4 linked regions of the Lytechinus pictus genome follow. Each later gene encodes a partner of the first gene's protein in a complex. Links are inferred from orthologs where the notes say so. Each region holds a gene or a part of one and is shown in the gene's direction. Other genes may lie near its edges.

Region 1 (7,262 bases):
ATTATCTCCTCCTGACCTTGACATATGTGGTGTGAATTATATTTTCCTATATGACAAATGGAGAGTTGTCCTCAAAATCAGCCATTTGGAAGCACGTTTGCCAATTTGAGGATCGACATAGAAAGTACAACAGGAGTTTTCAAACTCCATAACTCGCTTATTCTATAACCGATTTTGATAAAACAAGTGTTAGATTGCTCCTCTCATCTAATTCTTTCTGATAAGATAGAGTTTCTCCTTGTCTTTTTGGTTTCCTTTAATGTGTGCCCCTTCAAGCATGTCCGGCACTGCTGAATAATTATGGCGGCATATCCTTGAACTAGTATCTCCAACTTTTGGACGCCCGTCGATTTTCTGGTCATGTTATTGCGAGCGTAAGACTGAGTTTTTAATTGTTTTTCACCTCATTTTCTTTTTTTTTTAACTCCCCCCTCTAATTAACCCTCATACTATTCAAGTGGTTCTATGACATTTGCTCCGCCGAAATTTTATTACTCCGCTGTTAATTCCAGACACTGAAGGAATTACCCATTTTAACCATGGGTTTAACATTATCATGATTATGCTTCATCCTAAACCTAACCTTATATTAACATAGAACCCCACTGCTACCCAAACCCCATCTTAGAGGAAGCCCCGAGTAACTATCGACGGATCAAAAGCCTTGTCACCATTTAGGTTGGGGAGTGGGATGAAATAATAGGTCACCCCGCCCCCAAATAGGTTCACCGCTTGGGTTTACACCAGCTCTATTTAACCCCTTGAAATATACTATCAGACTATATAGGACATGTAGACAGAGTTGTGAATTTGCATCCATGGAACATGTATATATCAGACTAAGAGTCTAGCTGATATTTATCAATATTTCAGTTATAGTAGCAGACAGAAATTTGTCGTTTTCGCTAATTATACAGAGCTGCATGATAAAAGTTGAATACGTTGTAATTTGTATGTTGTTGTAAATAGCAGTAATCCAAAAATTAATCATCTTCGTATCTTATATTCGTTTTACCTTATTGTGATCAAGGTTTATGTTCAACAATGCATAAATGCAGTGGTGATGAGAACAATACTTTAAAACTCATTTGCTAATGATGAGGTATTTTGACCAGCGCTTTGATTGTCATCACTGTAACCGCTCTTTTTATAACTTGCCTATAATGAGCTCTGTCTTCAATTATTGATCAATCATTCACAATATATTTCGATCTACTTCCAAGGTTGATGTTACTATTATGAATAAAGATACAAATGATGGAACTATTGTATCCATTTTCTGTTTTACATCATTCATCATTAATGCACGTACAGTGTATACTTGAAATTTGTAATTTGTTATTTTCAATTCCTCATAGTTTTACCTTTTCTTTATTCTGTACCCTCATAACTCCCTTCCCTCCCCTCCCCCTCCCCCTCTCTCTCTTCCTCTATTAGTCTCTCTTCCCTCTCATCTTAGAATTACCCCTCCATCATGTTGCTCTCGATGGGCCATTCAGTTCTAATACCTAACCCAACTTCAAATGTATTTTGTGCTCTACTGTCTTGTATGGTGTGCAATGTCTCTCTCCCTCCCTTTCTCTCCCTCCTTTCCACTGTCTCGTTCTCACTGTCGTGCGTATGGCAAGCCGTTTTAACATTTAATCATATTTCTTGATATCAAGAAATCGAATTCTTGATATCAAGAAATGGTTTTGTGTAGTTAGGCAATGGTTATTCTTGATATCAAGAAATTGAATTCTTGATCATTATCAAGACGTATGATTAAATGCTAAAATGGCTTGCCATACGTGCGATCCTTTTCGAACGCCACGACTGGCTTTTCGTAACCGATCGCGAAAATGTTTAAACCATTCAAAATACATGTATTAAACAATGTATTATGTATCAAACATGTAATAAACAATGTTTTATAATTAGTCTTATGTTATTACGTAATTTTCAGTAAGTGTGATCAACTGTTAATTTTTAGCAATATTCATTTCGTTTTGTAATGTTTTGTGATACATGTATGATTTGTTTGATTATGAATATATTAAAATAAAAAAATTGTTTAAAAAAATATGAAGCTATCTACGATCAAGACGATCGCTACAACTGATCTGATACGATCTGATAAGATCACTACGATTACTCAACGATTAAGACAACCGTTACAATCATGGCACTATTCGTGAGAGTGGGCAGCAATCAGTGTTCCATTATTGTTATCTTGTTTACTCTTCAGTTTCAAATAATTTTAAGCTGGCAGAACATTCGTAACTAGTGTATAATATGATATCACAAGAATTTGTCTTACTTTATTTATTTCGATTTATATTTTAACTTAAATGTGAATAAAGAAACAACAATCAAACTATCGTATTCATTGTCTATTTTCCTTGTCTATCATTTAAATCATGATGAATTGTATCTGTTCCATTTTTGTTTTAAGCCATTTCCCGAGCAATGAGCTCAAAATTCAGTAATAATTTTGCATTAAGATTTCTATAATCCAATCACAAAGCTCGTTAGATAAGAATCCAAAAGGCGTATATAATATATATTAGATATAATGAAATTTTCACTGATCTTGATCAACGGATGAATATTGCATGTAAAGATTAGAATGTGAGATGATAATCCACTATATAGTTCACATTAATGATTATGCAATTTTACCCAAATTTTAGACAAGTAAAATTAAGTCACAATTCGTTAGGCTTCCAGAAAAATGCAATAACTTTTGATTTTGACAATTAGTCGGATTAACAATAGGATTTTCAAGTTTTTTTTTTGTTGTGTGTGAAATGGATGTGTATGGGAACGAGTATGATAGAAGAAAATGATTCGGGAGCTTTTTGTGTGTGTATTACCCACAAATAAACACAATTCCATTGGTTTTTTTTTTCCAACGAGAGATAATAATGCTCGAACAATGAAATCTAATAGGTCTAAATGTGATGCCCTAATAGATGACACGAACAGAGAAATGTTCTTATATTAGACACCCAATGAATTTGTTTATTTTTAATCCTCCCGAAATGTAAAGTACAAGCAATAAAAAAACGTGAGAAAGTGTTATTTATGGACGTTTATTATGGTATGCCTATATACACCCGGGGAGCGTTTCATAAAAGGGCATGTCAGACGTTTTCTCTGACAAATCCCATTTTAACCGACAGTTACTATGATAACAGTGCCTTTCAGCCAATCATAATCAAGGAAAGTTGTCAGACCTGACAACTTGTCGGATGCAAATGTCGATGAAACGCTCCCCTGAATCTAAGCTACATGGGAGAATTTACAAATTGAAATCGAGATTGTGATCCCTCGTTATTCTTTCCTTGGAGACGTTCAAGATCGGTCCTAGAAATATTAATCTGCATGATATAAAAGATAAAATGCTGTAAAAACACAAAAATAGTTTTTACACACGCACACGCTGACGAATGGTGTTATAAAGGCAACAGTGTTCCCCAAAAGACGTCGACACCGATCGCCTAGTTGTCTGAAATGATGTGCCAGGAAAAGGAAGGCGGCGGCGTCCTCACAGAATAAAATAGATGTTAGTTGAACATAATCTATTGTCCTATTCTCTTCCCCCTTTTATTTTTCTTTTGGATTGCATAATGATTATTTTTATATAAATAAGAAGAGAAAATTTTAGGGACGGTTACATTTAACGTTCATAATTTTGGAGATGTTTTCCTTGTTTTCTTTATCCCTTTATACCTTAATACTGCATCAGCTGGAAAAATACAGTTGTTTTGGAGTCAAGTTTCAAGGTCAATCTTGTTGTCTTCCTAGCTTGGATGAATTCCGATACTGATCTGCTATTTGTGCTGTACTGGTATAGTGGTAATGCCATGGTCACATTTGTTCTACGGCGGCCGTACGGCGAGTCGAAAACAGCCGTTTTAACATTTTTTGTCCAACTACATATAGGTGGTTTGAATCAAAATTGATAAAACGGCTGTTTTCGACTCGCCGTACGGCCGCCGTAGAACAAATGTGACCAAGGTATAATGAAAGGGCACTATTCCCATGTGCCGCTGCGTAAACATAATGTCACTCAGACCAAAACTTGTGTAGCTTTGTCTTGACTTATTGTTTCTTTAATTCTACTCTATCTCTTTCACTTTCTTTTGTTTTCTAAATTATTTCTTATGTGTTTTATAATAATTTCCTTTTACTCTTCTTTTGCAATGATCTTTACACGAGATTTAGCGTGCGAATGTACGTAGCTTGGTTTTATTTTTTAATTTTTACTTCAACGACACCTCTTAGAATGACGTGTGAAGCTAAAAAGTAAAAATTTGTCAATATGGCAGCAGACAGAACCCCACTCTTCAAAGCATCAATTAAAACAGTTCGGACAAGAAATAAAGCTCTTGGAGTTACCAAAGATACTTCTAAGTCATCCCTCTTGAGTCATGCAAAACCCATGAAAGATGATTTTGCTTTAAAGGCAAAAGAAGTGGTAAGTATTTTTTAATCGGTTCCAGAGCAGAGGCGATAGCGAGCCGGGCCGGGAGCTCAGCCGACTCGGGGGCCCGCGGCGGGGGAGCTCAGCGGAGCTCCGGCATATGTGCACTAGAGGCGCACAGACACTGCACAGGCAGGCACAGCCAATATGGGAGAGATTATCTCCAACTTCTAACACCAGTATTTAAAGGTCAAGTCCACCCCAGAAAATTGTTGATTTGAATAAATACAGAAAAATCAAATTAGCAGAATGCTTTAATAAAATCGGATGTAAAATAAAAAAGTCATGACATTTTTTAAACTAAAGTTTTGCTTATTTTTCACAAATATGGCTGGGCGCTAAATGCAGTTTCGCACCGGCCGCCGGCCGATTACCAGCATACCTCATCACCAATACTTGTTCCCAAATGTCATGACAAGTCTCTCAGTCACATTTCGAGGTCAATATACCCACCTCTTCCAAATATCGGGAACGGCTGTATTTCAGCTTTGATCTCGATGTCGTTGTTCGAATCCTCTTCGCGGATCGCTTGGATTCGCCGTGCGCCGTAATGTTGATATGGACTGAAGTTATCAACCAAAAGATTCGCCTGCAGCATGCTGGCAGTTTGTTCGCCACATGTTCGCATGATTTGGTTGCTAACTTCAGTCCCTCCCTGGGTTAGATAGGGCGATGCCCTGCGCAGGTCTAATATGGCCACACATCGAAACTTCATCAATTCAAGTTTAAAAAAACATCCATAAATTTGGACCGATTTGAACCCAAAATTCATGAAATGCAATAAAAATGTGGTGAAACATAAAATGAGCTATCAGATTTGAGCTTATTTTGAGCGGATTACGTTGGATTTTGAAGCTAAATTTGGTATCAAAATCTAGCTAAAATTCCGCTGGTTACGATGCCGCCATATGCACTGTACAGGGGTACAATCACAGAGGGGGAAATGTAACCCAGGGAGCTCCCGCCCGCTGCGCGGGCGGGAGCCCAGGAGCTTACCGTGTATTTGACCATAGTCACCGGACTAGGGTGATTTATGGTCTAAATATTTCTCCAAATGAATTGTGAAAACAGAAAGTATACAATTACCACGATTATATGGATGAAGGTCTAACGAGTGGCAGTTTCCTGACATCTGGGCACAGACTGGAACCTAAAAAAACGAAAAGTTCTCTCCTTCTACCCCCGTTTCGATCGGCCATTTTTGTTAAAAATCGTAACAAAATTGTGCACATCCGCGAGAGCATGCTAGTGCGCCATGGCCGTGCCTACCTCTAGGCAATATCAGAGATTTTTGTATCCAATTTTAGATACGTTTACGTTTGCTGGAAAATGATAGTTTGCACCTGAAATTTGAGGTGCTGAATTATGACATGTCACTTGACAATCGATGATCGTTTTTTGTTGTGTCGTTGCAGGAACGCCCTTAGCTGCACGCATACGGGCATTGTGTAAGGGTGTTGGAAGTGTGGTGCTAAGGGCGTTCCTGCACCGACGTGACAAATTGTCAACTTATTTCACAATCACCAAAACACACACCAAAAACATTGCATTGTTATGCACAGGCATAATCGCTTACCATCGAAAAGTCCTAATTTAAACTCAAAATTTCCTTTAAAAAAGTAATATTTTACCCTTTTAAAGCTGCGGAATCTGCGTCATGATTCCAGAGCACGCGACAGCATAGCCTTATCTTAGGCTTAGCTCAGATTTGATAAGCGGGGTCGCTGAAAAATCTGTGGTTTTGTTCTGAGTTCATAAACTTTTGCAAATGGTATTTTAGGATCATATCTTAAAAGTGACATAATCAGAAAACCAGGACCGCATTGAATGTGCACAGAAATGAGTCAACAATAAGCTTCCGAGTGCCTTCATTTATTCGACAGGGGCACCTAGCTAGCCTAGAGGACTCTGTGATGATTTTATTTCATATTTTTGTCATTGTATTTTCATCACGGAGCCTTGACACGGACCAGATAGTTGAACTTGATGATTAAACAGGGATTTCCCTCTAGAATTACTATTTAGCCCTGCCAATTTTTACCAAATATGAAATTTATCGGATTTTGAAGATTTTATACACCTTATGCATATAAATGTGTAAAAAGTATCAAATTATAAACTTGAAAAATGAGAGGTTTCTTTCCAGACCGATCTGTGGTGGCCATTGCAAAATCTTCCCATGCTGCGTAATACAATAGTAGGCTTGACCCTTGACTCGCTTCGTTATGACGTAGCTACGATGAGCTACGTTATGAAGCGCCGTTTTGTAGAACAATCTATAGACAAAATTATTGTTTAACAAATAATTATCATTTAGGCCTACATAAAATTTTTATATTGGTTGTAAGTAAAATATAATTATTTTTTGTGGGAGATAGTCTCCTATATTGGAGAGAGTGAGAGTCGCCCATATTGGCTGTGAACATCTACTTCCTAGAGTGCGGCAAAATTTTGAAGCAGTAAAACTTAGAAGATGGTAAAAAGCGATAGAAAAAAGAATTAGAAAAGCACAAAAATTTCCATTTACTTTGATTCTTTACTTTATCATCTTTAATTACATGTGCAATAAATCCATGATTCTAAGCATGCGACCAATTCTTTTTAATGAAAAAAAGGGAGGAAACAAATTCGACACCCGTCATGATGATCCACTGTACATGTAGATTAGCTGTCCTATCAAGTATCATTTATCATGCTGCAGCATAATTTAGGCCTGGTAACAGCCAGGAGGCATTTGGACTTGGATTGGAGTGTATAATCATTACTAACACAAGGTTACTCTCCTAGATACCTG
Region 2 (7,337 bases), on another chromosome or scaffold:
TTGAGCCTATATTAAATTCAAATGGACTAACTAGTTAAAGATAATCCCACAGACTCTATGAACCTACAAAGAGTTGATAAATGTATTTATTTTCATTCCGATATAATACAAATGGACTGAATATATATCTACAGTGTATGTGTTTTTCAGTGACCTCACTAAATCTTTAACTCCAGTTTACAAAGTTTCTATGGGTTCTTCTTTAGAATGAAAGATAGTCACATACTAAATGGAAAATTCCAGAGCCTGAATGTAGGCCCCAAAAGTCCTCCATACAATCAACAAACATGTACTATGTTCAGTTTTTATGATTATTTAATATACAATTGGCAAAAAATACTTCATATAATAAAATACTTTATATAATAAGGTACATTAACAGTAAATTAAGACATGTTCAGCTTGACATAATCTACTTGTTTGATTTGTCATGTGCAACTAAACATCTTAATATAACGACCCAAGAATTAAAAAAAGGGGGGAAATGAAGAAAGAATGTGTATTGACCTTTCACAGAATGATCCTTGACAGGAAAAACTGGAACACGCTCCAGACACGACGCAGCCATCTTCCTGGCTTCAAGATGCATTTCTTTGAGTGCTTTCAGGATGGTGGGAAAGATTGCATCTTTGGTTGTGGTCTGCTGGGCTCTGGCGACTATGTACTCCCAGGGAGTGATGACCTTAGACAGCATAGGCAGCGTGACCTTGATCAGATCATCGTCAAGAGGGGTCTTGGGGTCAAAGAACTGTAATATGAAGTCATCATGAATATTCATAAGATTGATGCATTGTTCAGTGAATACCATATGAGATTTTGAGAAAGAAGAAGTTCATTTCCTGATTATGAGATGAAAGGTCAAATCTATCAATCAGTTCTTTTACAACAGAATCATTAAAGGATTATAATGAGTAGAGTAAATGATGCTTATACCAGATCCGCAGAACATTTATTTCTGGGCCTATTTTTATAAAACTAATGTTTAGTAGATGATGTTACGATTCAATGAAAAAAATGACATTGACCAATCAAATGGCATCTTCAGTAACATTAAGCAGTACCTTTAACTTTATCATTCAATCAGGATTCTCATTTCATCTTTAATGATGAAAGGGATAGTGTTTGCAAAGTGCTAAAGCTAAACAGACATCCAGATGTATTATGATTTTGTTCCGATTGAACTTTTTGCTAACATTTAATGTAGATCTACAGGGCATTTGAATATCACACATAATTTCTTAATCAGTTGTTATTGAAAACTTACGAGACAAAGCAACAAATATTTCAAGACTTTATTGTAATTAATCAATTAGTAACAAAAAGCAGAATAAACTTTCAAAAACAGATTGAACAATCATATTACTTGCATTTCATAGAAAATCTTAAAATACTTTAAGCCCTATTTTGATACCATCATCACACCTTACGGAAATTAAAGTAAGTTAATTCAACATCCTGTATTAAAATGGTACCGTATTAAAAAAAAATCCCCTGTAGTATAATTTCCAGTCACCTTTGAAGTTGATGCTTCTGCCTTTGGAACATCTTTGCTGTTTGAGGTTATCACTGATGCATCGCCACTCTGATCAACGACCTTACGACCCGACCCTGGGGGTCTTCCTCTACCCCGCCCCCTTGGTTTATAAGGATAGTGGTAGGTAATTATAGCTGGTTTCGGCCGTTCTGGTTCTGGTTCTGCTTGTTTGTTTTCTTGGGATGTCTCTTCTGAAGAACTTGGCTTATCATCTTCGGGCTTGGGACTGGGAGATTGGTTCCCATTAGGTTTCTCGGCTGCCTCACTCGGGGATTCAGCTGCCTCGTTTGTCTCGGCTGCCTCACTCGGGATTTCAGCTGCCTCGTTTGGTGTCTCCTCCTTTGTTCTACAAGAAAATAAATATAAAACGAATTAAAAATACACCTTTGTTTTCATTATTTTTTCTCAACTGAACTCTTGCTTTGAGAATTATATGATGGTAAAAGTTGAAAAAATAAAAGGCTTTTTGAATAAAAAATTTGAAAGGTGAAATCAAGAAAAATTTCACAAATTCAAATAATAACCCCCCCCTCCTCTCTTTTCCTAGAACTGATGATTTAAACTTTAAAACAAGTTATGTTGTACAATGTACAGAGACTATTTAAAAAAAAAAAGACTCCTACTCTTTGTCACTTTGTTTCTCATCAGTCTCCATCTCCATCTGTGGGTCTTCATCTTCCGTCTTTGCAAACACGGCATCAGGATCTCCATGTGTCTGGTTGTCTCTGTAGTGTCTGGCCAGTCCGCCTCTTCCAATGTACCGCTTCTCACAGTTCTGGCATTTATACCTCCTCTTCTGATCATAGAAGCTAAGTGTCGAGGTTGCATTTTCACCATCATCATAATCCGAGTATTCTCCATCAGAGGAACCTGGCTGGTCTCCCATCTCTTCATTGGACATGGTTTTGTACTCCTTGATTCTATACAGTGGAGGCCTGGACACTCGTCCAGATCGAGTCTTGCAGTTGGCCGGTCTCTTCTGTCTCATGAGATGCAAGTCCTGCGAGGACGGCACTGCTGGAGCCATTCCCTTGGCCGCTGCTTTTCCACCACCTCGACCAACTTTTTTCTTTACTCCCAAGACTATGGCTGGCTTAGGACTCGGAGAGGATTTGACCGATGTTGAAGTGGGTGAAAAAGTTGTTTTTGTGGTTGTTGGAGTGCTATTACTGGGGAGCCTGTTGGACAGGATGGTACCGGGTGGGAAAGTTCTGACGGGTGTTTGCTGCTTGTTAGTTGCATTAGTTACTACTTTCATCATCGGAATAGTGCTTCCCTGTTTCTGACTTGTGGACAAGATGGGAGCAGAAACTGGAGTCGTGGTTGAAACTGGAACTTTAATAAGAGCTGGAGCCTTAGCTGGTGTTGAAGATGAAGCAGGTGGAGGAGCTGGGGCTGGAGTTGGTTTTGATGACTGGGTGGTCACAGTGGCTGGAGCATCTGGAACGCGAACAATGGTGATTGGTTGACCAGGATTCTTTGCCAAGAGGGCCTGCACTTCTGGGGTATTCACAATATTCGATATAAGCGTTTGGCTGAGAGCCCCTGTCCCTGGAGGGGTTCGAACAGTGATTGTTACCGGTGAAGGGGTTGAAGGTGCTACTCTCAGAGTTGGAACGCTTGTGATTGGAGCCGTCTGTTGCTGTGAGATGGCTTGAATGAGGCCAGGGGTATTCAGCAGAGATGTTCCAAGGCCAATATTACTAGAAGCAGAACCTGTCAACAAACTATTTCCATTCACAAGTAATGATGTATTTTGAGCTGATCTTGCCAAATTCAAAGATATTGGATTGGCCGCAGGTGCAGCTACTACAGAAGTGGGAGTGGTTCCTACAGCTGATGCAGAAGCAGTTTCCAGGATGTTTAATGCATCTTTATTTTTTGAGTTTTCGGTGAGAGAACAATCGCTGCCTGAATCGATCATGGTTGCAATGGACCCAAGTAAAGAACTTGCTGCAATATCTGATAAGACATTATTCGATGATGAAGACATGGCTGAATCATGATCCCCAGAAAGAGCAGAAGATTCGGTGTCAATTTTGGAAGATTCAGAATCAATTTGGCCAGTCAAACAATCAGCTTGTGATTCAATTGATCCATCAATCAGCCCATTGTCATTAGATGACGTGCTGTCAGCAATCAACATTTGATTCTGATCTCCAACGACGGGGAATCCATCTCCTGGTTCGGCTTCAGGAATGACAGTTTCAGAAACTTGTTTATCATCATGATCATCTTCTTCTAACAAGCCGCTACCCGCGGCTCCATCGGTGTTTGCGTCTGTCTCTCCTGCCGCGGCAGAGAAATTTATTTCATCTTCCTGTCCAGATTCATCCATCTTTGAGAGAGCCTCGGACAAAAGATCGGGTGTTTTTCCTTCCTTTGTTCCTGGAGAGCTTTTACCGATAAAGCCTTGCTGTTTTACATTATCCTGTGTGTCGGAATCGGGATCAGAATGGGTTATTTCTCCAATAATTGCATCCTCCGCGTCCGCCATGTCAAAGCTGCCCTCAACAAAAGTAAACCCTGCGAGATATATATATAAAGGAGACCCTGCGCAGTCGTTCTCAGTTAATTAAGAAGTTATTGTACCAAGAAGTACCGTAGCGTCTGAAATAGAATAGTATAAAACGACTGGTAATAGTCTAGGCACTTGATTGAGGTCACCTGATTGTGTTGTATTCATTAACGTTGTAAAAAGTTACGGATCGGGAGTCGGAGAGTTACACTTGGTCGGACTGAGGAGAAAGGATCATATTCTTCTGGATCTGTGTTAAATAAAACGTCCAAAATGTCATCGGAGCGATTTGAAAGGATTGAAGATGACTATAGAACTCTCTGCGACACAGTCAAGTACAAACTTGAAGCAAGAATTCCGAATTCATCTGGTGGTAAGTCACACACACACCCATCCACATTCATTTGAATTTTGATTGACTGAAAATGTGAAATGAATGATTTTGAATGACTGTCTTTTTTGTGAGTTAGAAGTTAGCATTGTTTGTAACAGACACTGGTGACTGAAGTCTATCTAACGTTAGACTAATCTAACTTTAAACTTAAGAATTGTATTGATCGACGTCCACTTAAGTTGAACTTGAAGTTGAAATTTTATTTCAGCTTTGCATGATCATGATGATGTAAACCAATTCATTAAGGAGTTGGATTTCTAAATTAATATTAATGCTTTCTCTCAAAGAACCTGTAATGGGGTGACCATAATTTGCGCACATTTCAGAAGTGATCCTGAAGTTGATTTTCAATCAAAAATATCTCACAGTTCACCCAAAATTAATCAAAATCATAAAAACTAAACAAGCCAATATCCCAAAGTCAAAATTCACTTGAAGTAGGTCAAGGGTTTTGCTGGTAGATCTAAAAATTCCATGGCGATCGACTAGTGCGCTCGGCTGAAAAGTTTCATAAAAAGTGTGACCTTAATTTGCGCAGGATCAGGATCATTTTGCAAAGCTTTAGAAAAGAAATCAAGCAGACAAAGGTAAAATAATTGTATCAGATGGAGGTTAAAATGCGATAGATTAGGTTGGTATCACATTTTACTTCCTTATTTTGGAGACTTTTGCTCACAAACTGGCGATTTCTTGTAACTTATCGAGAAGGTCAGATTTTCTCGGAGCAGACGCAAAAGGTAACAAAATTTGACAATGTTTTGCCAATATTTTCACAAATTGAGACCTTACCTTCAAGAAAATTACAATACTGAGGAGACTCTAATATGTTAATGTAATTTGGGTCGCTTTTTTCTTTTGGAGATATCAGTTTTTCAAGATATTAATTAGATATTGAGATATTCGACCGTGCGCAAAATTAGGTAACGCGCAAATTAAGGTCACACCACCATACCTGTTCTATGTTCAAGTTAATTTTTTAGTTTCGTTATTCATTCTTGTATTTTTTACTAGGCTGTTTCTCTGTAATACCTGTTAATTAAGCAGAGGCAGAACATAGATGCCAAATTGAAGTAGGATGTTGTGTCATCAACAAACATTGACAGAGTTTCATTAATTAATAAAGATGGACATTAGTCTAGACTCTTAACGTATGTGAAGGGCCGGAGGGGAGATTTTTCTTTCTTTTTATACTCTTCATACTTTATGCTGTTGAGCTTTTTCTACCTAAATTTTTGCTTTTCTCTCTTAGTCTTACTGTATGTCACTATTTGCAAAACCAATGTAGGAGCATTTGGGGTATTTGTTCAGATTTCAGATTGGCATGGGTAGAGCTAGACAGCTGGCAGCCGTCTGTTTTGAGGAGTTTTTTAACATTTTTTTATTTTTTAAATTTCTCCTCGTACACAGACGGCTCGCTATCGTGCAGCCACCATTAGGGGACTTGCAATGCAAAATCCCCCCGTAGGGGCTCTTCAATTTTTGTCTTTAATGAATAAAAATTTTGAAAATTAATGCGACCAAAATGCAAATTAATATTCCCTCCTGGCATTAAATGCCAAAAAACAGAGAAAAATCAACTTAAAAGGAACAAAAACAGTGACTTACCTCGGCTGTCGCGCAAATTCACTTCCCCGTTTTATCCGATCTTAAGTACATAAACATATGGCCATTGAGTCCCCTGTACAGATCGCGCTAGAACTTCAGTCTCTGTATTTGGTGAGTGAAGCCAACGGAGTTCAGCTGAACAATAACAGAGACCGAAGCTTTTGGTCTAGGGTAGAGCATGCATGGACATAGAAAATTTTCATCTGGATTGTACATGTTCAGGGACCTTTTCCAAATGTGATTTGAATATGTTGACAGTTTGACTGTTCTCTGTAATACCTGTTAAGCAGAGGCAAAAACATAGATGCCAAATTGAAGTAGGATGCTGTGTCATCAACAAACATTGACAGAGTTTCATTAATTGATAAAGATGGACATTAATCTAGACTCTAACAGTCAGTCCGCAAGCCCCTGTGTTAATGAGCAAATGAGCAAGATTTATCCAAGTCCTCTCGTGGCTGAATTCATGTCCCTGCAAAATCTCGTGAATTGTGAGACTTTCTATCTCAAAGAATTTAACCACTTTCTCCTTGAGTAATATTGATTATTTTTGTACCATGGGCAAGAGTAAATGTTACCCTTTTATATTGGTCATTTCTTTTGAATGAAATATTTTGATAAATAAGTGAATTTTTTACCTGAAAAGATGCATCAAACATAATTTTCTTCCTCTGTTTTCACTTGCAAATTGTGCAACATTTTGTGTTTTAGGCACCAACATTATTTATATCATCAGAAAGCTCAAACTCTATACTTTCTTACAATGTCACTCTTGATATGTGGCATCTTTTAGATGGGTCAGCAGCCAGTTATTTCCATCAAGATGTAAGACGAGATTTCTGAAATTTCTGAGTAACATAAAATCCAGAGTTCTGATTGGCTGAATACTGTTTTCAAAACAAACAGGCGCGGGTAATTTGAAGAGATTACCACATGGTGAGTGTGACCTTGCAGAGGCCCAGTGTGGGGAACATTGGAATTTGCGTGGGTGTGTGGTCTATGACCAATCAGAGCGCAGTATTCTTGTTTTTGAGCTGCAAAATGTACTTGGCCTATGAAAAGCTGGCTGCTGACCCATCTAAAACACATCTTCTTATAAAAATTATATCATATTAAAGCTTAGATCTTCAGCTTTATCATGATTTAAAAATCATTTGTGCCTAAACAGAAATTAAGTGTGAAAACAACAACTTTTGTTGCATGAAAAAAAATATTTTGTTTCATTTTTTAGATCCAAATTTTTCCCTATATTACAACATTCTTTTAAAAATCCAAACACATGACCT
Region 3 (7,511 bases), on another chromosome or scaffold:
TTTTATCTGATTTTGATAAAATTTTCACTATTTTGCATGGTAAAAATTACTTTATTTTAGATTATGTTGAGCCCGTATCATATACAAGTACAACTTTAAAGATAAATTACCAGTTGTAGTAACAATCTTAAAATGAGTTCAAACAGAACCCAATAGAATTACCAGCAAAATATAAAAGACATGTGCCATAATTAATTATAGCTCGGGAAGAAAATGTGTAATTGCTGAGAAATGAGCAAAATAAGCATGTAATTCTATCCAATGTCAGGTATTTTTCAAATCAATCATAATACACTGTCCTGTCCCACATGTTCTTTTCTGTGTTAGTGATCATCAAAATAATTAATTTTAAGTTCAAAATTAGTGATTTTACAAAAATACAAGCTTACATTAATGTACCAGATCTAGAGATTATGTACAATATTTTGACAATTTCTCATGAAATAATTGTTTGCTGCAACTGCTGTCTTTTTAATACGTTTAAGTGATAGTGTAATACAACCACAAACTTTTCTTAAGAATTAATGTACATGTATGATTCTTTCACCCAAATTTACATGCATTGATACTGTTGACTACTTGCCAAAAGTTCCTGCTAAAAGCCTTTTTTAACGATGTACATGCTTTTATAGACGACCTGCCAAAACATTGTATTGTATTATATTCAAGGTCCAACCAAAAAGAGATGAATAAAATGTTTGAAGGAAATTGAAATTAACTTTAAAAATGATAGAGCTCTGTCAATGCAGTATTATTACAGGGTTCCCACAGTCATGGAAAATCCTGGAAAAAAATTGGTCATGGAAAGTCAGGGATATGTGAAAAGTCATGGAATTGCATTTACCTCTTGGCTATGACAGCTTTCTAGTTTTTTATGTCTCACAACTCTCATACTCTGTGATTATACTCTACTATTATAATTGGTGTTCATGATCATAACATGTCTGATTTTGTAAACTGTGCCAGAAAGGAATTAAGTCATGGAAAGCAGCAATTTAGTCATGGAGAGGTCATGGAATTCTGTTTTCAAATTTCTGTGGGAACCATGAATAGGTTTGTGCACTTGACACAGTGTGCACTACAGATGAACTTTGTAATGCCATGATATAAACCAGTACAATATCTTAAAGGAAAATAAAAACCAAAATATAATACCACATGATACCATTGATAAATACAGGACAATGAAAATGAATCCACTCATATACCCCCAATCCGATGTCCCAGTATGGAGTACCACCTTTTCAAAGTTGGCATCTTCTGGTACAAAGTCTATGGATGGGGATTATTCCGTCAGCGACGAACTACATCTCTAAACGTTTGGGCATTAAATATTCTATTTCATCGATAATAAATCAAATGTACAGATAAAACTCATAAAATATTAATTAAAATTTGTTTAATATTATATGATAGGTTCAAATTACGACTTGATGAGTTTTAATGATAAAAATTACACCCTAATCTACGATTTACAAATTGGCAGCGGAAATTGGGGTGTAAATCTTATCATTAAAACTCATCAAATTGTATTTTGAACCTACCATATATTAAACAAATTTTAACTAATATTTTTATGAGTTTTATCTGTACATTTGATTTGTTATTGATAAAATAGAATATATAATGCCTAAACGTTTAGAGATGTAGTTCGTCGCTGATGTAATAATTTCCTAACTAACCCCGCGAAAATGGCGACCTCCATCCAGAAACTTCGAACCATACTGTAAGAGGCCAACTTTGAAAAGGTGGTACTCCGTAATTGGATTAGGGTATGAGTGGATTCATGTTGATTGTCCTGTATTTATCAATAATATCATGTGATATTATGTTTTGGGTGTTATTTTCCTTTAATTCAGATATTACATGCCAGGGTATTGTCCTAGTTTTCATTTTCTCCAAATACATATTATCATCTCTCGTCTATTTCTACTTGCCCTTCAGCCTTGAAGTAAACTTGGGATAATTATGCATTTTGTTATACGCAATTTTGAGTACAGTGCACTTTGCCGCAGCTACTTATATGATATTACCTATTGTAGACACATCCTTATGTTTTGTTCATTTTCTTAAAAACGATTAAGAGTTTAATCATTTTTGTCTTTAAGCATAAAACAAAGAGTAAATCAGTCCATTCTGTATGTGTGACCTGCAAAAAAACTACAATGGTCGTTAATTTGGTTTGCTGAAAAGCCAGATAACCTTTGAGGTAACTTTTTAAAGTATTTAGAAGAAATGTATCTGTTTTAAAAGTATTTATATGCACTGTAACTAATTTCTTTGATAGTTACTATTATGTTACACTGTTTGTACAGTAAAGCAGCTGTTACACAATTTTTGTCAATATCAAATCTAAACCAGTATTGTAAATTGATGACTCTATGAGCTAAATACCAGTACTTTCTATATCACTTGTAAAATCATTTGTTGTCTGTTCATTGAAGGTGTTGTATTTTCTTAATCTTATAAAAGTACATAGGGTCATGAACACATTCTACTGCTACCAAAATCATACCCATGATCTGTGATGTATCTAACCAGTTACCACACACATTGCAACACACCAGTTGCAACATACATTATCATGCATCAGTTATCACACATCTAGTTACCACACACATTTTGGGTAATGACTCTGATGCATGGTATTATGTGTATTATGTACAATATGTGTGGTAACTGGTTAGTGTTTACCACACACCATTTACCACACGAATTACCTCATATTTTACCACACACCAGTTACCACATGCATTACCACACACCAGTTACGTAACTGGTGTGTGGTAGTGTATGTGGTAACGTGTGTGGTAAATCGTGTGTAGTAATGCATGTGGTAACCGGTGTGTGGTAAAATGTGACGTAATTTGTGTGGTAAGGCATGTGGTAAAATATGAGGTAATTTGTGTGTGGTAACCCGTGTGGTAACCGGTGTGTGGTAAAATGTGAGGTAATTTGTGTGGTAAGGCGTGTGGTAAAATATGAGGTAATTCGTGTGGTAAATGATGTGTGGTAACGCGTGTGGTAACTGGTGTGCGGTAAAATGTGAGGTAATTTGTGTGGTAAATGGTGTGTGGTAATGCATGTCGTAACTGGTGTGTGGTAAATGGTGTGGTAAATGTCGTGTGATAATCTATGTGGTAAATGGTATGTGGTAAAAATTGTTACCATAAATTAATCCCTTGTGTGGTAAATGTTACCATATATTAATCCATTCATGTGGTATTCCTGTGGTAATGTTGTGTGGTAAATGTTCCAATTTACCACAGGACAATACCACACGACATTACCACACATTACCACACAATACCACAGGACATAAAGACATAGCATTACCACACAACAATATATGTGGTAATCGTGTGGTACAGTCCTATGGTAATTATATGGTATTACCACAGGACATTTTTGTAAGGGGTCCCTGTTATATAGGCCCTATATAATCGATTAAAAATCTTGATCACCACCAGCATGACTATGGTCCAACCATGGTCCCAGCTAGCAAGCTGACGTTGGTTGGGCCAATGCGGGGTGCCGATGTCGGCCACATTCGGCGAATATCGGATTCCATAGACCAATGAAAATTAGAATACTACGTACGTACGTAATAATACTGCGTACGTACGTAATAATACTGCGTACGTACGTAATAATTATCACGTACGTACGTAATAATACTGCGTACGTACGTGATAATACTGCGTACGTACGTAATAATTATCACGTACGTACGCAATAATACTGCGTACGTACGTAATAATTATCACGTACGTACGTAATAATACTACGTACGTACGTGATAATTTTTTTTTTTTGGTTGTCAAAAATGTCCGGTTTGAGGCTTCGTAGTTCTCGAATCAAAGTTAAAGGAAAATGAAACCCTTGAAACCAGCTGAATCCATATCAAAGAGAAAAATCAAAGAAACACATTGTTGAAAGTTTGAGGAAGATTGAATGAACAATAAGAAAGTTATGAGCATTTGAATATTGAGATCACTAATGCCATGTAGATCCTCCCATTGGCAATGCGACCAAGATCTGTGATGTCACACACGTACAACTCCCTCATTACTTTAGTACATATTTCACTTATATTCTCACTTTTATAGAGTCTGTCACAAGGTGAGGTGTTCTCTTTATGAGAGGACAAGTACAGAGGTTTCACAACATTATATCATTGATGAATCGTTTGTCATATGATTAGAATGAGCAAAAAGAGATGTTTTGGGGTATATTTTCAGTGTCCAAAAGGGGAGAGTTGTTCATCAGTGACATCTAGATCTTGGTCGCATTGCCAATGGGAGGATCTACATGGCATTAGTGATCTCAATATTCAAATGCTCATAACTTTCTTATTATTCATTCAATCTTCCTCAAACCTTCAACAATGTGTTTCTTTGATTTATCTCTTTGATATGGATTCAGCTGATTTCAAGGGTTTCATTCTCCTTTAACTTTTGTGAGAAAGAAACTGGGCATTGAATCAACGTTGCGGTCGGTGCTAATCTACGTGGAATTGAAAACGTAAACACAAATATCGGCAGCTTGAAATTAACTCACTATTTTCCCTGAAATAATGTCTGACTGGGACTGGGGATCGAAGAAAACAGGTAAATATTTTGAAATTACTGGACTGATTTATTCAACTCTATTTACTTTATTGCTTAACAAATAAGTTAATGGAAATCTTTCCTTTATTTTCTTGAAACTCTTCAAACAGTACTGCAACGTGTCCCACACGTACAATTTTGTGTTTGTAAACTCTTCATAATCAACACCAGTTTTCTCACTCGTTGACAGATCGATTCCTCATTCCAACTCTTTTCTATATCATATGTAACAAATTATAGAATAAAGTGCTCAAATATAGGACACTTAAGCATGATTGGACCAAAACAAAAATATAGGCCTAATCATTGAAATATTGAATCAAATGAAATTAATCATGTCTATTTGTGGTTGAAAACTTTAGTAGCCTAGTTTTATTTTTTTGTAAAAATCAAATTTTGAAAAAATGTGGTAGGCCTAAATGGAAATTATTCACTTATACTACCAGAAGCTTTTTTTTGGCCAAATACAAGAAGTGTAAAGTTGTGCGCCGCGATCAATTTTGGCAATTTAAACTGCGCTCTAGGCCCTAAAGACTAAACCCCAAAATAATCGCTTGATTGTTGAGAAAACATTTTTTATTTCAGCTGCGCAAATGCCGATTTTGAATTATTTCTATTAATAATTTTGATGTAGAAATCTGTAAATGATAATTATTTACTTTCCATATGGACCTCTTTCGGCTCTAAATATCGGACGTCTTCGCTTAGCTCCGGGTGGCTTCGTTCTGAAATGCGAGCGTGGGCGTGTGAACAGCACGCTTTCCAGTGCAATCGGACGAGATGTCCGATATTTGGGAGGGTGTTGAATTTCCCGCCGTGTGGAAACCCGCGATGGCCATTGCAGATCTTTTTGCGATAGATTGAATATGTGTCATATTGGTGGCGATATTTCCTGCGAAAATCACTTCCCCCTTACAAGATTTTTTTTGGTCATTGATCTTTTGGAGTTAAAAATTAGTGAGGGTCATAAGAATCTTAACCCCTGGAATAGCTTTTCTGAGCAGCAACCTGGATCTATTGTGTGTGCAGTTCAACAGTACATGTATCACATGTATGCAAGTCCCCCGCCAGTGTGGATCCCTGTAGTTGAAGTCTTTTTCGTCCAATATTTGGACACTACTCATTACTCAAGTCATTTACCGGCCAAATCATGGTTTTTGGAACCACTCGTTGATTTGTGCATGTGCACGTGTGTACAAAGTAAATGGAGGTGGAAAATAGGGAACCATGCGTTGTGACTGAACTATAAAGCGCTGCTGTACGAAGTAAACGGTGGTTCCCAATTTCACGATAATGACCATTTACCCAGTCTGTCCAAATCAGGAAGAAGTAGATTGAATTTGCAATTCAATATTGGGCCTGAGGCTTTTTAAGCTAATCACTCAGTCTTGGATTTAACCCACTTATTTATTGAACAAGGTTATGATATAACAAGGTTAAACTGTTATGATAAAACCTTGTTCTCTGTTGGGACTGTTAGGACTCATCCGTTTTTGTCCGCATGATTTTAGTCGCCAACTTCAGTCCATTTCAAACTTGTAAAAGATTTTACCCGTCCCTATTGACCTGTGTGTGAATTAATTCCTTGTTATTTTTTTTTAATAGGTGGACAAAACAACCACGGTGGTAAAATGAGTACGGAGGACATGCTTGAAGCCGAAAATGACCGAATGACACTCGGTCTAGCAGCTAAGGTCTCAACATTGAAATCTGTGAGTAGTCTATGGGTTCATAATCACTTAGGTCTGAGTGGGCGCGTCGTGGTCTAGTGGTTCTGACTCTCGCCTTTCAAACAGAGGGTTGTGGGTTCGAATCCTAGCCATGGCGTGTTTTCCTTCAGCAAGAAATTTATCCACATTGTGCTGTGCTCGACCCAGGTGAGGTAAATGGGTATCAGCAGCAAGTAATTCCTCAAAAAGCTGTGCGCACCAGAATCGGTAGACCAGTTTAACCGGGGTAATATAGGAGCGCCTTGAGCACCTAGCAAGGTGGATACGTGCGCTATACAAATCCTATATTATTATTGTTATCAGATAATCTTATAACATATGGGCTGAATGCATTTGGTCCAATATCAAATTGAATCGCTATTTGTCTTACAGTACACTATCTAATACCATTTAGTCTAATCTAATTCTTGTGTAGTTAAATGCACAGAGGGCCCAATTTCCACTTGACATTAAGGTCGTTGGTCACATAGGTCGTTGGATGCCAGAAAAGTCCTTTTCTTTAATATTTTTTTATGAATCATTTGATCAATCAGCTTTGGCAGACTGGCAGTGATACACTCAACTACAACTATGGAAAGCCAGCAGCATCAACAACTAAAATGCATGTTTGTTCAAAATATTTTCCAGATATGACGTATTCATCTTCACGCTTTCATATGTTTTTTGGCAATTCATCATGCTCTACGTATACAAAAGGCCAATGTTTTGAATTTATCAGCTTATTTGGCACTTTACCTTTCAAAACTGTAAGAATAATATCGTAAATAGTTTTCTTTACCAGTCATGCATGGATACAGAACACGGTATACATAAAAAAGGATGCAATCAATGTAAACAAAATCTTGACATTTTTTGCTTTTCATAATTTAACACCAACTTCAACCATGGTTTTAGTTAAACCAGACTTCAGAATAATGACCTTTACCTTTTTTCTTGTTTTCTTTCAGCTTGCCAAGGATATGGAGAATGACACAAATGACCAAAATGTTTATCTTGATGGAATGGTAAGACAAGAGATATGTTTGATCTGGAAGGGGGGGGTAGAGTTAGGGACAGTCACCAAAGACACATCCATGACCAGGGGGGTGTTTCACAAAGTATGACTAAAGTCGCACTTAAATGCTGACGCGTGCATGATATGCAACGCGCGATCTTATTGATAGATACACAG
Region 4 (7,205 bases), about 15 Mb from region 1:
GGATATCTCTAATGGTGCGTCCCTAACAAATATGAACACCCTTTCCTACCCACATCTCCTTCATTGACAACTTGGATATTTTGGAAACATCCACTTGAGAAAATCCCCCTAATCGACTGGTGGGCATTACGCTCCAGTGGTTTTGTAAACAACTTGATACATACTGTATGAAGGAGATCTTGTCAGATGATAAATCCAATCAGCATCGAGTACCGTGAATGGAAATTAGAGGGAACAATTCTCATTGGTCAATTCCAAGCAGGGAGGACAGGGCTTCGCCAAAATTTACGAGCTAGCTCCAACTTACGGTGCCACATGTCAGAGGGTCAGAATGAAGAGTTTTTTCTCCCCTGATTTTTTCCATCATCCCACATTTTCACACACAAACATCCACACATGTGATCTGTTAGCAAAGTTGGGAAAAGAAGCAACCAATCTCGCAAAGCGTGAAAACTCCAATGTTAATTTCGGTCATTTGCTTTCTCTTGCCTTTTATTTTCGCTTGTGTTAATATAACTTTTAGGCCTGCATGGGAGTACACATTGATTGGTCGAATGGTTTAAATGGCGTGCCCGCCAATCAATCAGCAAAATTTACACTAAAGTGAATGTTCGGCAGATCCCGATTATGACGTTGGGATTATAGCTCAGATACCCAAGTAATAATAACAAAATGACAAGAAAACAATGATGACAACAGTTTTTTTATACTTGATACAGGTTTAAAAATGATGCTACCGAGGTAATTTTTGAAAAATTAGCAATGATTGTATCACATTCACAGTTACACAACAACACGAAAGAGCTCCGAAAATGTTAATCCCACTCGATCTTGCCCTCGATACACAAAATAAGTCATTGTCTGCGTGCTCAAAACAGAAAGTAAACACACAACCATCTCACTTGAGCTGATTGGACCTTCGGCTTCGAAAGCCAATGAAACCTTCGGGGAAACAGAAAAAGCCACGTGGTTCCCTTATCAGGAAAGGTCGTGACTTCAGAAATAAATTGACCCCTCCCCCATGAGGGAGAGAGAGAGAGAGAGAAAGGTAGGGGGTGTGAGCCGGAGAATTCCTTTCAAATTTCAAACAATGCAACCTTTTTTATATCCCCCTCACACAATCAAAAGACATTCCAACACGCGCCGCCTTCATCAGTACTTTCTTGGTTAGTCTAAAAAAATAGACCCAGTTATACATGTAGGTTCAAATGATAAAAATTTGTAATTTTGAAAGGTATTTCAAATGAAATATTTTGCAAAATATTTTTTTTGAAATACATGTGTAGCATCGTGGGCAGTGCCACAAGTGGGGGTGGGGACATGGTGTGGGCAAGGAATGAATTTTTTTCAAGTGAAATGCTCCACCTGTGTGTCAGTCTCAAATAATACTTCATGAATGAGTTGTTAAAAGAGAACGAGAGAACTTAGTTGATTCAAGATAACTTGAATGAAGCAGAGTGGAAGAGAGGAGAAAAACAATTCGAGAACGTTTCTGAGTGATGGTAAATTACCAATTATCTCTGAAATATTCTCTATATGGTATTTTCATTGATGATTATATGACACCGAGGCTGTTACTTCAACATTTAATTCCTATTTTCATGATTAACAAAAAAAAGCAACAACGAAACAACCAACAAGAAACAACGACTTCATACCAAAAAAAATCAGACCTTTCTTACATTTTCCGTCAGAACTGATCAAATTTTAAATACCCTCAGATGAAAGTTGGCATCATTCCACGAGGTTTACTCTCTACTCTCTTTTTTTTCATAACTCCCTCCGTCCCCTTCTCTCTCACCTTCTCTCTAACTCTCTGTGCGGATCGGATTGGGGAAAGTGTCTGCGTTGGCGTATTTATTACATGAGCTCCGATGCTCCCTCTCCCCCTCCCTCTCCCTCTCTCTAGTGGACAGCCAGGCGTTGGCTTGCGATGACGTATTAACAACATTATAAGTGCACGGCATTTAAGTGCTGTTAGGGCGGGGATCCATTCTAACGCTGGTAGTGATACCAACCAGCTGGGTTATGTCGGCATAGAACTATCGTAAATCACTGCCTCGCTTGACAGTGAGACCCAGACTCCCAAGGGATGAATACGATATGTGAGTAGTGCTTGGAATGCATGGGGTCAGCTAAGGACAATCAGGTCAGCTAAGGACAATATGGGTCTGTTTATTGTGCTTGATAAACAAATAGCAAAATCCGATATTTGCTGCCGATATTTTCGACCGATACCGATCATAGGGATAAGTATGTGCCCCCGATCATCCGATCCGATCAGAGCTCTCACTTACAGGGTTATGCCAAGCATCCTACAAAATCTTCTTAGACAGTCCACGGGTGTGTCGTTGAAGAGAAATCCAGTCATCTTCATTGAGGGATTTTGATAAATAACGCACAAAATGTAATTTGTCAAGGTAGAACATGGAATACAATGTTTGTTAATTCAAAAGATTTCATGTAGCCTGAGTGATTTTTAATTAGATTAAATGAGGTGATCCCCCAATTTTTTTAAAGGGAGGGGATTGAAGACATATTGCACAATATAACATTTTAATAGAATTGGGGGCTTTGAATATTTAAATTTGTATTAGATATAAAACTTGTCCAGAAATAAGCATTTAATGTCAACTTTCTCACTAATGTCTATACTGCTATTTCTCATTTTAACACCACTTGTATGCTAATGCTCAGTAATCCATTTCTTTGCACCCATGGACCAATCACCCTTAAAACTTATTCTCATCTGCTTCTTGGCTTTCACCATCACTTCATGCATGCTTCACAATCATCCTTTGCTGTCATCCTGTATGCACATCTCCCACACCTCATCTTGCTTTTACAATGTAATCTCTCTTTTTTGGTCTTGTCTTGAAATGCTTCACACATCACAATTTCCAAAAAATTCTTATTCACAAGCAGTGCTTGCTCCTCAGGAATTAAATCATCCATCCCCGTTCCCCAGAGTTACTTGAATTAACTAAAGTTCAAGTGCTAGATTACAGAAGGAAAAATGGTCAAGATGAGTGTGCCCGATGGTTACATTCTATTTATTTGAGCAAATGGGGGCGAGCGTCGCGTAACGTTGGGGAAGTACAATAAGAAACAAGATGGCGGCGTAAACATCGGGCAAGTCTCTTCCGTCTTTTCACAATATTTTTCTCATTTCGTTGATGAATTCTTGTTTAAAAATAACGAGAGCGTAGAAATGTCGGAAATGAAGTTTTATACATGATTTATGGCTAGATGTTTTAGAAGGAAAGTAGAAATCTCGGGGGCGAAAGTTTCAGGGTTTTTTGCGGTACACGCAGATGAATAGGAAGGACTCATTGGCGGCGGAAGCAAAATTTTAGGGGGACTTAGGAAAAAAAATTGACAAGCAAAAAAAAAAAAAAAAAAAAAAAAAAGGTTAGGCCTAGCCTAGGGCCTACCGTATCAACAAAAAATTATTTTAGGGGGGGTCCGTCCCCCCACCTAAAATTTAGGGGGGACACGTCCCCCACGCTTCCGCCGCCTATGGAAGGACTCCCTGGCTTCATTTAGAGTAAGCCTACGTTAGTAAATGATTTTAACTCTCAAGAAGCCGCCTGGCTAAGGCCTAGCTAGGCCATGGCTAAATCAATGCGATGGAGCTCCTGGACTCGGGCTGGAGTTAGCCCGCCCCGGCCCCGGTCCCCAGCCGCGCAGCGGCCGTAAGTAAGTGCAAAAGCCTCAGCTCGCGCTCGCAGCCGATAGAATCTCAGTCTCAGACTCAGTCTAACGTTACTACTCTCATCTCAAGATCATTCATTTCTCTATTACTATACGTACCGAGCCATTTAAACAGATAACTTCAACCAACATTTAGCAGATGATTTATCATTTGACACAAAACACCTCGATCTATCCCTAAGAAATTCCGCATAATTTTCTTCGTTCTTGCTAGCAGCTGCCTGAGCTGAGCTGAACCGATTAATGAGGTCGCCGACGTGTTAACATCATACGTGTACTTTACAAGAAATTTGGCAATCAATGCCAATATTTTTTTTTCATTTACTGATTGTTACTTTTTTTATTCCATTGTAGAATAGTAAAAAATATAAATATGCAAATTTTGTATTTTTTTAATACTAAATTGGGTTTTTTTATTTTAAAGGTGATTTTTATTTCTTATTTCACTTTCAGATCTTACGATTTCAATGCTGCCAATTTGTATTGACAAATTTGTCAAGATGGCTTTAGACGCTGTGAGAATTAGAACTTGCGTTCAGGAAATCGTCAAACATGACTTACAGATCAATTCATATGCTCAGGTAAGTTCACGTACTAAAATCAATCGTTGATTTCTACGATTATTTGATGAAAATTATATTTTATCCCTAATTTTCTACATCGTACAATTAAGTTTATAATATTGCTATGCGATTCTGTGCGACTGTTTTTTAAACAGTCCCACATACCCAGCTCTGCGCTAGTAACTCTCCGAAGAATTGACAATGTCACTACTCACGTTAATTATGCGTGTCTATGTATGTTAGTGTTACAGTCTTGTAGTAGAGTCAGGTATTGTATTACCGGACACTGCACTATTATGATTCTGGACGCGCATATTACTGTGTACGAAAACAATTTCGTCCCGCAAGATTTACGCAGTTCAATTTCACAGAGCAATTGACATTTGATTTTGATTTGTTAATGTTAGAATTAAGTTATAATATAAGTAAGTTAGATTGAGAACAAGATTGCAAAAAAGCCAAAAACATTAATGGCGAAAAAATCAAATATTATCTTTTAAATTAAATGACAGAAAATGCTTAAAATATCATATGTCAAAGTTTTGCATTAACAATTGATATATTTTCTGGTGGAAATATGGGCATGATTTGCTGAATTTCAATCTTGTCCGCTCCTTCGATCGAATTGTGGTGTGGTGTATTGTGGGTGATCTTCGATGGCTAGCTAGTTCTCAAGGTACCCGTGTGCGAGGTTTACCGACGATCGACAGTGCATGATGTGCATCGATAGAACTTGATGAGTGTCACAATACGAACAAGCATAATATCGGAAAGTGCCATGCAGTTAAAAAGAACAAAAAAAATCAAATTAGTTAGCAAACGCAAATTTATTACCAACATCTGCTCAGATTCGATATAAAAAAAGCAAACAAAAACTAAGAATTTACTCATGATATGATATATGAAGAAAAAATCACACAAATTCTTTCTTACATCATTCTAATCAAGAATACTGACAAGAGTTCCATATGCACCCCTCACTAAAAAAGTAAAATTGAAAATAAAAACATGGAGAAGGTTCAGAATAATATATCTAGCCCTAATATAGAACATATATGATGGGGGAGTGGAAATACATACCAAATTTTTGGTTTATTCTGTCAAATTTCGAGCAGGATCTAGTGTGTGTAATTGTCCATAGACATCATTGGTTTATTTAGTCAGTAAAGGGTCTGTGAGTCAAGACTAGTTGAACTATTGGCTGATAATCATTAAAATACCCCTTCCGGTATCAGCACTTCTCGCCAGCATAGCGGGAAGAGGTCTTGACTGCAGATAAAACGAGGTGAGTTCGAGTCCCTACTAAGGTAAGCAGCAGTAAAAAAAATGATAGAAAAATCTGAAGTGAACGAACCGGAAGTCTCAACAATCTTTTGTTATTTTTGGTGGGGGTGCATATGGAATTCTTTCCAGAATATCTTTACCCATCCTACGCAGGCTTGGTCCTACGTACACACGTCCGGAATCATGATGTAATTTGTCGCATAAATAATTGTTTTTCGTGGAGGGGTATGCGGCAAGTGCGATGCAAAGAAAACAGTTGGTAAATATAAAATAATTTCATCATATGCATAATTTTCATAATATTTGGAATAGCATTTTTGTGCAAATTTTTCTTGATTGTATTTCCTCTAGTTGTCATTTTTAAAGCACTGAAATAAAGTTGTCCGGCAATAGGATACATTGCCATACTTGTAACTTAGATTCCCTTCCTCCGAGGTGTGGAGATCGGTGGAGAACCGCAGTTTGTTGAGATTTTGAAGCTTCTAATTGGGCCTGTCCGGTCGATGATGCTGGACAAGGACAGGTGAATAGTTCACGACAACCAGTAGGCCTACAGTACTTTAGTACTAGAGCTGGCGCACGGCCAATATTGGAGACTCTCTCCAATATGAAAGACAATCTTCCATATTCAATATGATATTGCAGACTTGCTTTTCAAAAGAACAAACGAAACACCACCAAAACGTGTAATTTTTCCACCCAAAATTTTGTCTCCCTGAGTCTGAGGTCAGAAGCCAATTTGTTTTGTGTGTGGATGACAACAAAAATCCTCATCAAAACAACAGTAGACTGAATTTTTTAAAGTAGACGGTGAAAAGGGGTAATTTTTCATGAGGAATCTGCTTGTCATATTTTTATTTGCCGCCAAGGTAATCCTTTTGCAGCAAATGTAAACATGAATCTTATCTTAAAGATACATGATATTTATCGGCCAATACAATTTACAAGTATTTTTTAAATCTAAGTTAGCACTGCTCATGATATTTTCGCCCTCTATACGCTTCTTGTAGCTAGGCTACGATAACAAAGACGGCAAGGTGGCTACAATAACAGACTGAGTAAACGCTCCTCTACTTTTAATATTTTGATTCATTATATATGTGTAATATTAGTTAAAGATATAACTATTTTGCGCCAACAGGATTCAAATGATATTGTAGCCCATTTCCATAAGTTTGGGCTCAAAAGCCTAAAGAAACAAGTATTTTGGAACAACATTATTGTCTCCAAAATACTTGGTGCGCGTAGAGCAATGGCATCCCGTCCCTGGCTCCGTGGAGATTAAGCACGTCAGTGATATGACATTAATCTCCAGGAGCCTCCTGGCTAGGTAGGCCTAGCTTGCCAGGAGGCTCCTAGAGAGTAAAAACAATGTACTAACGTATGCTTACTCTCCACTGAGTCAGGGATTGCGTCTCATTCATGTGCGTGTACCGCGAAAAAAATGAAACTTTTGCCCTTAGATTTCTACTTTCCTTCTAAAAGATCTAGCCCTAAATCATGTAAATGGGATACAACTTCATTTCCGACATTTCTACGATATTGATATCATTTTTGAACAAGAATTCATTTAAAAAATGAGAAAAATATGAAAAGACGGGGAAAACTTGCCACAATGTTTATGTCGCCATCTTGTTTTCTTTG

The links.
Region 2: syntaxin-18-like (region 1) and vesicle transport through interaction with t-SNAREs homolog 1B-like share a complex: the UniProt entries of both Homo sapiens proteins name them as parts of the SNARE complex. The link is inferred for Lytechinus pictus from reciprocal best matches to the Homo sapiens genes STX18 and VTI1B.
Region 3: syntaxin-18-like (region 1) and BET1-like protein share a complex: the UniProt entries of both Homo sapiens proteins name them as parts of the SNARE complex. The link is inferred for Lytechinus pictus from reciprocal best matches to the Homo sapiens genes STX18 and BET1L.
Region 4: syntaxin-18-like (region 1) and vesicle transport protein SEC20-like share a complex: the UniProt entries of both Homo sapiens proteins name them as parts of the SNARE complex. The link is inferred for Lytechinus pictus from reciprocal best matches to the Homo sapiens genes STX18 and BNIP1.

What each region holds. Positions count from the first base shown.
Region 1 is NC_087256.1:16,138,618-16,145,879, forward strand, and holds the start of syntaxin-18-like, read left to right. Parts: upstream 1-4,260; 5' UTR 4,261-4,306; coding exon 4,307-4,462; intron 4,463-7,262. UniProt on the Homo sapiens protein: Syntaxin that may be involved in targeting and fusion of Golgi-derived retrograde transport vesicles with the ER.
Region 2 is NC_087251.1:45,500,724-45,508,060, reverse strand, and holds the start of vesicle transport through interaction with t-SNAREs homolog 1B-like, read left to right. Parts: upstream 1-4,325; coding exon 4,326-4,425; intron 4,426-7,337. Other genes in the region: mucin-2-like, read right to left, coding at 508-748, 1,514-1,880, 2,158-4,031. UniProt on the Homo sapiens protein: V-SNARE that mediates vesicle transport pathways through interactions with t-SNAREs on the target membrane. These interactions are proposed to mediate aspects of the specificity of vesicle trafficking and to promote fusion of the lipid bilayers.
Region 3 is NC_087250.1:19,732,959-19,740,469, forward strand, and holds the start of BET1-like protein, read left to right. Parts: upstream 1-4,486; 5' UTR 4,487-4,576; coding exon 4,577-4,610; intron 4,611-6,215; coding exon 6,216-6,322; intron 6,323-7,287; coding exon 7,288-7,344; intron 7,345-7,511. UniProt on the Homo sapiens protein: Vesicle SNARE required for targeting and fusion of retrograde transport vesicles with the Golgi complex. Required for the integrity of the Golgi complex.
Region 4 is NC_087256.1:1,387,523-1,394,727, forward strand, and holds the start of vesicle transport protein SEC20-like, read left to right. Parts: upstream 1-4,188; 5' UTR 4,189-4,214; coding exon 4,215-4,295; intron 4,296-7,205. Other genes in the region: ectonucleoside triphosphate diphosphohydrolase 4-like, read right to left, coding at 3,814-3,821. UniProt on the Homo sapiens protein: As part of a SNARE complex may be involved in endoplasmic reticulum membranes fusion and be required for the maintenance of endoplasmic reticulum organization. Also plays a role in apoptosis.